Linked DNA regions of Macaca mulatta. The protein of the gene in region 2 purifies or fractionates together with the protein of the main gene of each other region. This does not show direct contact. Links are inferred from orthologs where the notes say so. Each region holds a gene or a part of one and is shown on either strand. Other genes may lie near its edges.

Region 1 (3,648 bases), on a different chromosome or scaffold from region 2:
GGGGTTATTGTGAGGAAGCGAGAGAATGAGAAGCACCTCGCTCTGGAGTATGTGCTCCATGGCTGCTGGTGCCTGCTCCCTTTTCTTTTTGCTGGTAATGTTTCTGCTTAACATTTTTGTAAAGTATGTTAATGACTTTATCAGCATGGATAGTATGTATGTTTAACTTGAACATAGTTTTCAAAGATTAGAGATTCTAGCAAAATACTCCTGTAATTTAAAAACAGAATGAGAAAACACATACTTTGAGATAAAGTTGGAGCTTGTTTTCTGTGCTGTACAAACTTGTCACTTTTTTCTTTTTGCCTTTGGAAAGTTTCACATTAACAGCATGAGAACTTAAAAATACAGTTGATGTTGAAAGAGCTTAACTAAATATTTTAAATTGGTGGTATTGGAAAGAGATTCTGTAAAAATCCAATTAAACTTTTGAAAGCTCTCTCCTGTTGAAATATAACTTAAAGGAAGTCAGTTTGGTTTCCCAGAAGTACTGTGCATAGTGTTTCTGGCTGAGGAAGAAAGGCCCAAGTCTGCTGTTTGGCCAGAAATTGGGTACCAGCTTCCTCTACGATGTTTTACTTGAATGGTGTTGACACTTGAACAAATCCCATAGAAACTGCCCCAAGTGGGGGATAGTTGTCCTTACTTTTATGGTAAGACTTGGCCCCAGTAACTAACATTCCAGACACTGGTAGTATTCTTGGCTGAATAATCTATAGATGTGCATAAATTGAGAGCAAAACCCCAAATGTTTTAGAAACTTTAATGGCTACCGTATTTCAAGCAATCAGTAAAGTAAACTTTAAAAAATACTGGTGCAGTTTATTGCTTCATAGCCAATAAAAATAGTGAACAAAAAGAGTCTAGTGTCCCTTGTTTCTTACATAAACTCTGAAAATTCAGTTCTGCTATTTAATTATTAAATTCAAAAGACTAGAATGATTTCTTTTAAAATTGGGAGCACTATAGGAATTTTTTTCCTTGTCTCAGACATCAGAAATAGCTTTTTCTTTCCATTAAATGACAGTAAAGGCCGGGCGCGGTGGCTCAAGCCTGTAATCCCAGCACTTTGGGAGGCCGAGACGGGTGGATCACGAGGTCAGGAGATCGAGACCATCCTGGCTAACACAGTGAAACCCCGTCTCTACTAAAAATACAAAAAACTAGCCGGGCGAGGTGGCGGGTGTCTGTAGTCCCAGCTACTCAGGAGGCTGAGGCAGGAGAATGGCTTAAACCCGGGAGGCAGAGTTTGCAGTGAGCTGAGATCCGGCCACTGCACTCCAGCCTGGGCGACAGAGCGAGACTCCGTCTCAAAAAAAATAAATAAATAAATAAATAAAAAAAATAAAAATAAATGACAGTAAAGTATTTAACCAATATGTTTGTTTCTGTGGTTTATTTTTCACAGGGAACAAAAACTAATAGTACTGTGCAAAATTATTTTTTGTGATGATTTACATCCATAAATGTGATATCTATATTTACTACTGGTGTTAAAATATTTTTATATATCAAATATTTTATGTGATTGTAAGTGCAAGAACGTGATCTATACTTTGTTTCATAAAAGGCTTGAATGTCTTAGGTTAAATTTCTGGTTCGAATTTCCTATGAGGGGAGGAAAAATTCTAGAATTGAGATGTGCGTTTTTAAAGTGGATTGATAGGAATCAGAAAGGGAATTAAAACCAAAACTGTCTGAGTCAGAGGCAGAGGAGAGAAGAGAGGAAGTATGGCACAGCAGTTCCATACCATGGGAAATGCAGGTGAAATCTGAAGGGAAGGAAATTGGGACCACTTTCATGTGGTCTGTTTTGGCACTTTCTTCTTTGTCCCTATGGGATTTTGTCTGAGAGTCAGAGTGGTTATCAGGACAACGAAAATATTAACCACAAATTGTAGAAATCTCAGTTGATGAGGACAGGGTCTTTTAAAGTTTAGACTGACTTAGTTAATCCTACAACTTCCTGAACATGATACTGCTAAATTAGGCAGAAAGGTTGTGCAGTTTCTGTTTCGTCAGAACTAAACAAGTGTTCAAAGCAACTCTGAGGTTGCTCCCTCTCAGAAGAAAAGATTTTTGTAAGAGAGTTTAAGAGGTAAAAAGGTATCTGTATAAAACTCAGCAGTAAGCCAATAATACTTTAATGTACAAATTTATCTCACAAATTCTTATCAAAAAATAAAATTCATAGAAAATCATAAAATCATAAATGTAGGAACTGCTAGTTAATGCTCACTGAAAGAACGTTTTGGTATTTATTCCTACTGGAATACCTGATCTCCAGTAGGATTCATTCACCAACAGTGAATTAAGACTACATTATGAATATTTAGTAGTTTTGAAAGTTAAACAGCTGGCAAACTTTGGAGAGCATTAGGAATAATATACATTACAGGATGGGAGGGAGGAACATACCAACTCACTACTCAAGGGAAGAGAACTGTGGACGAATGGAATGGGTAGGTTGAACAATTTCAGACTTTTAGAGGTATATTACACATGTAAGCTCCATGAGGCCAGCCATTTTTATTTTGTTAACCGTTGTATCGCAAGTATTTGGGACAGTTCCTGGCCTATAATTGATGCTTGGCGAATTGTTTATAGAATGAATTTTGGGCGCAACACTTGACAAAGGAAAACTAAATACAAGTCAACAAATGTCACAGTTGTTACAGTTGTTTCATGGTCTAACCTTTTTACCAATGTGAAGTTATCAGTACCAGAGTGTTTTGCTTCAGTCTGCAAAAAGAGGGTGTGAAGATGTGTGTGAATCTCAAAAAGTGAATGCCCTAATAGTCCATTTTGGAGGCCATGTGTTCAAGTGAACTGATTTATGAGCTGCAAGCTTCAACCTGGCTAATTTAGAAACATCTAATACCAGTTTCTGGTTAAGCAATTGTGGTACATGAAATTCATTGTATAGGTGATTCGTGCAACAGCTTCTGAATTTTTTCCTCCCTCATCCACCTTACAGCCATTAGTCCTATAATAATTTAATTTGGGTTTGTTGGTATAGAAACTGTATTTGCACAATAATGATAAAGCCACTCAGGCTCATCTAGTCATTTCCTGGATTTATGTGTGTAGGAGTACATAAAAATAAGGGCACTGAATCATTTCGCATTTGCCTAAAATTGCTTTTCTTCAGTTGTTCAAAGGTACACAAAATGCTTTTTTCTTTATAAGGTAAAAAATACTTGGAGGTTATAAGAAATAACTAGCTTACTTTGAGTGGCTTTGATATGTATTTACTCATAATGGAATTCATGAGCTTTCCTTCCTTCGCTTGGCCAAGATTTTTTTTCTTTGAAATTCCTTCTCCAGTGTTATCTAGGATGTTTGCATTACAAGCAGGCCGCCTCACCTCCTTTGTTCGTTGTCACAGGTGAAAAGCCATACAAGTGCACCTGGGAAGGCTGCGACTGGAGGTTCGCGCGATCGGATGAGCTGACCCGCCACTACCGGAAGCACACAGGCGCCAAGCCCTTCCAGTGCGGGGTGTGCAACCGCAGTTTCTCGCGCTCCGACCACCTGGCCCTGCACATGAAGAGGCACCAGAACTGAGCGCTGCCCATGCCACCCGACCCGTTCCAGGTCCCCGGGCTCCCTTTCAAACAACAAACCTAACTGTTCCTATATATATAT
Region 2 (3,648 bases):
GATGCACTTGGTGGAGAGTTCACTGAACTTGTCCCAGAGGTCAATGTCCAGAGAGACACGTTGTTCTGAGCTGTTGTTCTGGGGGAGGAGGGAGAGTGAGGGCCTTCTTCTCTATGGCACCCCTTCTCGGCCTGGCTCCAGCCCCCACAGGCCTGCCCTCTACCTAGCCTTCACTTCCTGGGAGCTCCTTAGGAAGAGGCAGCAGCGGGAGGGAGAAGAGAGGGAAAGGGAAGGACGAAGAGATCCAGCCAGGGGGGAGGAGGAAATGCCTGGCACAAGAAGGGGTGTCTGAGAGGGGCCCGTCCTGGCCCTGCGGCCCAGGGCACATCCCTCCCTGCAGGCCAGGGGAAAGCCATACCGTAGTGTATTTGCCCAGCTGGCAGAGGGCAGGGAAGGTTTCCTGGTGCGCTTTGCGCACCTTCTCAATGAGCTCCCCCACCTCCGGCGTCAGCGTGTAGCTCTCGGAGCACTCGGGCTTGGGCACCTCCTTCTTCTTCTTGTTTCGGTCATTTCTCACAGCTGTGGAGGGCAGAGGGGGTTAGAGGGCAGCTGCAGGCTGCTTAGGGCCTCGTCCACCCCCAGCCTGACAGAGAGCCGCCAGCTGCTGAGGAGGTCACCCCGGCTTGTAAGCACACGCACACAGCACGCATTCACAGGCAGGCAAGGCATCGCCACGCACTCCAGCCCTCCATGCCCACCCAACCCACACAGCAAGTTCGGCCCCAGAAGCCCTATGAGCACAGCTGTGGCCCTGCACACACACCCCCGCAGCCAGCCGAGTGCTGTCCCCCACGCGTCTACTCCAGCTCACACTCCAGGCGCCGGTGTCTCCCTCCTCGGTGCTCTGCCTCCTCTTTCCCCAGGAAGGTCCTTCTCCCACCTCCACTCACCCAGCCCTCCCAGCTGCAGTCTCCCTGGGGGTCCCTTGGGACTGGCTCTGAGCAGCTCCTGGGACAAGTGGGGAGTAGGGCTCCCCAGCCTGAGAGTGGGGGGCCCGGCAGGGAGAATCTCTTGGCCCATTAGCTGGGGAGCTGACAAATCACCAGGGGCGCTGAGCCGCACACACCACTCGGCTTTAAAGAAGCGATGGGGTCGTTACCAGCCGATTATCCCAGACACACAATCACTCACAGGGCTGGTGGTGGTGGCTGCTGACGCGGGAGGAAGGGAGGGTGGGGGAGGGGCTCAGGGAGGGGGTAGCGAGGAGGGGGTAGCTGGCATAATTTGGAGATCACTCATGTCGATTCTGCAAATTCAATAAAGTGCAGGGGAGAGAAGGGAGAGGGAGAGGGAGAGTGGGGGGATAATTTGGGAAGAGAAAATTGCAGCTGTGACAAGACGTTTATCATTCGGAAGCTTTAATTCTATTGAAATGGCAGCTGCTCAGCTCCGGGGCACAGAGCAGCCGGGAGAGGGGGAGTTGGCGGTGGGAGGGAGAAGGGGAGTTGGTGGGAGGGAGACGGGGTCCCCACCCTGGTCCTTCTGCCATGAAAAGAGCAGAAGGTGGCACAAACAGAGGGAAGAGGAGGTGACAGCCCTTAAGTGAAGGGTTCCAGGCTTGTGGGTCTCGAGTTGTCACCCACTCTTGCAGCAGGACCCATCACTTCCTGGGCTCAGGACAAGGCACCCCCAGCCTCCTGTGGCAGGACACTCCAGTCCCCTCCTTTCCTGTCCGGGGCTCTTCGTCCAACAGTCAGAACCATCTCACCCGTGCCCCCTCCCCACTACCCTCCCCACAAAGGGCTGGGGGTCCTGCAGCCCCCTCCCCCATCCCATCCCCCAAGGCTCAGGCTCCATGGCAACGGCCACGCAGACAAGGAGGCGTCTGTCAGCGTCATTTATCTCTGACATCATCAATCACCGGTCACCAGGGCAACACCCATGATTCAACACAAGAGGGTCTCCCTGTCCAGCCTTTCCTTCCCTCCCTCCATCAGGCCTCAGCTGAGCCCAAAGTGGAAACCCCGTTTCCTCTGGGATCTGAGAAGTCCCAATTCTTTCTTCCAACTCTGGATCCCAGGCTTAACTAGACAATGGCTTCTGGATCCTTGTGCCAGCCCCTCCACCCCCCCGTACACACGTAAGTCCAGCCAAGCACCCCTCAGAATTCAAGCCCCTCCCCTAAGACTCACAATCAGAAGGGACTAACTATGCCTCTGAGCCCCACCCCAAAGCCAAGCAAGGCCTGGAAGAAAGCCATCCTGGAGCAAACACACATGCACACATGCGCAAAAGCACACACAGCCAGACGCACAGAAACAGGAACAGTTACACACGGTCCTGGAGCACAGACCTGCCCATGCACACACAGCCAGACGCGCAGAAACAGGAACGGTTACACACACACGGTCCTGGAGCACAGACCTGCCCATGCACACACAGCCAGACGCGCAGAAACAGGAACGGTTACACACACACGGTCCTGGAGCACAGACCTGCCCATGCACACACAGCCAGACGCGCAGAAACAGGAACGGTTACACACACACGGTCCTGGAGCACAGACCTGCCCATGCACACACAGCCAGACGCGCAGAAACAGGAACAGTTACACACACACGGTCCTGGAGCACAGACCTGCCCATGCACACACAGCCAGCCAGACTCGCAAACAGGTCCTTGCAGCTACACACAAACCATCCTCAACCGTGAGCCCGCACACCACGGCATGCGTGTTCATGCATGTGCACACACATCCACAGAGCCCTGCTCCCTTGGTCTTTAGGAGCACCTGAGGCCCCAGCTCAGGCGGGACTCGGCTCTTGCCCCATGGCACTCACACTCCTTGGACATGCCCACTTCGAAGCACTTCTGCAGTCGGCAGTACTGGCAGCGGTTCCGGGTCACCTTGTTGATGATGCAGTTCTTGTCCCGGTGACACGTGTACACCATGTTCTTCTGGATGCTGCGGCGGAAGAAGCCCTGGGTATGGAGGGGAGGGAGTCAGGTTGTCCACACCCACAGTGGCAGCAGTGCCTGGCTATAGTCTCAGTCTAGGGGAGGAGGGCCAGGCCAGCTGCTACCCCCAAGCCTTTGCCCATCGCCTACCTGAGCAGGCCAGAAAAGCTGGGGAGAATGATTCACCTAAAAGGATCCTCCTCAGGAGAATCCCAGTACCCGCCTCAACGCCGCAGGATGGGCAGGAGTCTTCCCCCAACCCACAGCACACATCTGACTCCTCCCTTCCAGGGAAAGGACCTCAGGGCTGCTGGTGAGTCAGAAAGAGGAAGACATGGGGCTAACTGGGAAACAGCCAGGAATCTGGAACCCACAGCCCTGAACTCAGAACACAGGAAGAGAAGACAAGCCCGAAGAGGCCAGGAGTCAGATACACGGGCTGGCCAGAGAAATGGAGGCGAACACACACATGCACTCAGGAGCAAGGCAGAAAGATGCGAGTTCACCGAGACAGGCGTGCGCCGGCCCATCACAGACAAACCCAGGCTGGCCAGGGGCTCCACATACAGGGTGACCAGAGAGACAGGCGGACAGATGAAGAAGAGACCAGGAACAACCAGACAGGACAGGCAGACACACAGCCTGAGGCCTTGCGCTTTGCCCTTGACCTCTGTCCCACACCTGGGGATAGCTACTCCAGGCTGAAGAGCAGCCCAGAGCTGCAAGGCCCAAACCTGTGCAGATTCTGAG

Evidence for each region. The genes of interacting proteins can lie anywhere in the genome.
Region 1: the proteins of RARA (region 2) and KLF5 purify together in Homo sapiens (affinity purification with western blotting; 4 studies listed by BioGRID). This does not show direct contact. The link is inferred for Macaca mulatta from reciprocal best matches to the Homo sapiens genes RARA and KLF5.

What each region holds. Positions count from the first base shown.
Region 1 is NC_133422.1:67,839,719-67,843,366, forward strand, and holds part of KLF5 (Krueppel-like factor 5), read left to right. Parts: intron 1-3,388; coding exon 3,389-3,567; 3' UTR 3,568-3,648. UniProt on the Homo sapiens protein: Transcription factor that binds to GC box promoter elements. Activates the transcription of these genes.
Region 2 is NC_133421.1:64,733,477-64,737,124, reverse strand, and holds part of RARA (retinoic acid receptor alpha), read right to left. Parts: intron 2,923-3,648; coding exon 2,781-2,922; intron 520-2,780; coding exon 359-519; intron 79-358; coding exon 1-78. UniProt on the Homo sapiens protein: Receptor for retinoic acid. Retinoic acid receptors bind as heterodimers to their target response elements in response to their ligands, all-trans or 9-cis retinoic acid, and regulate gene expression in various biological processes.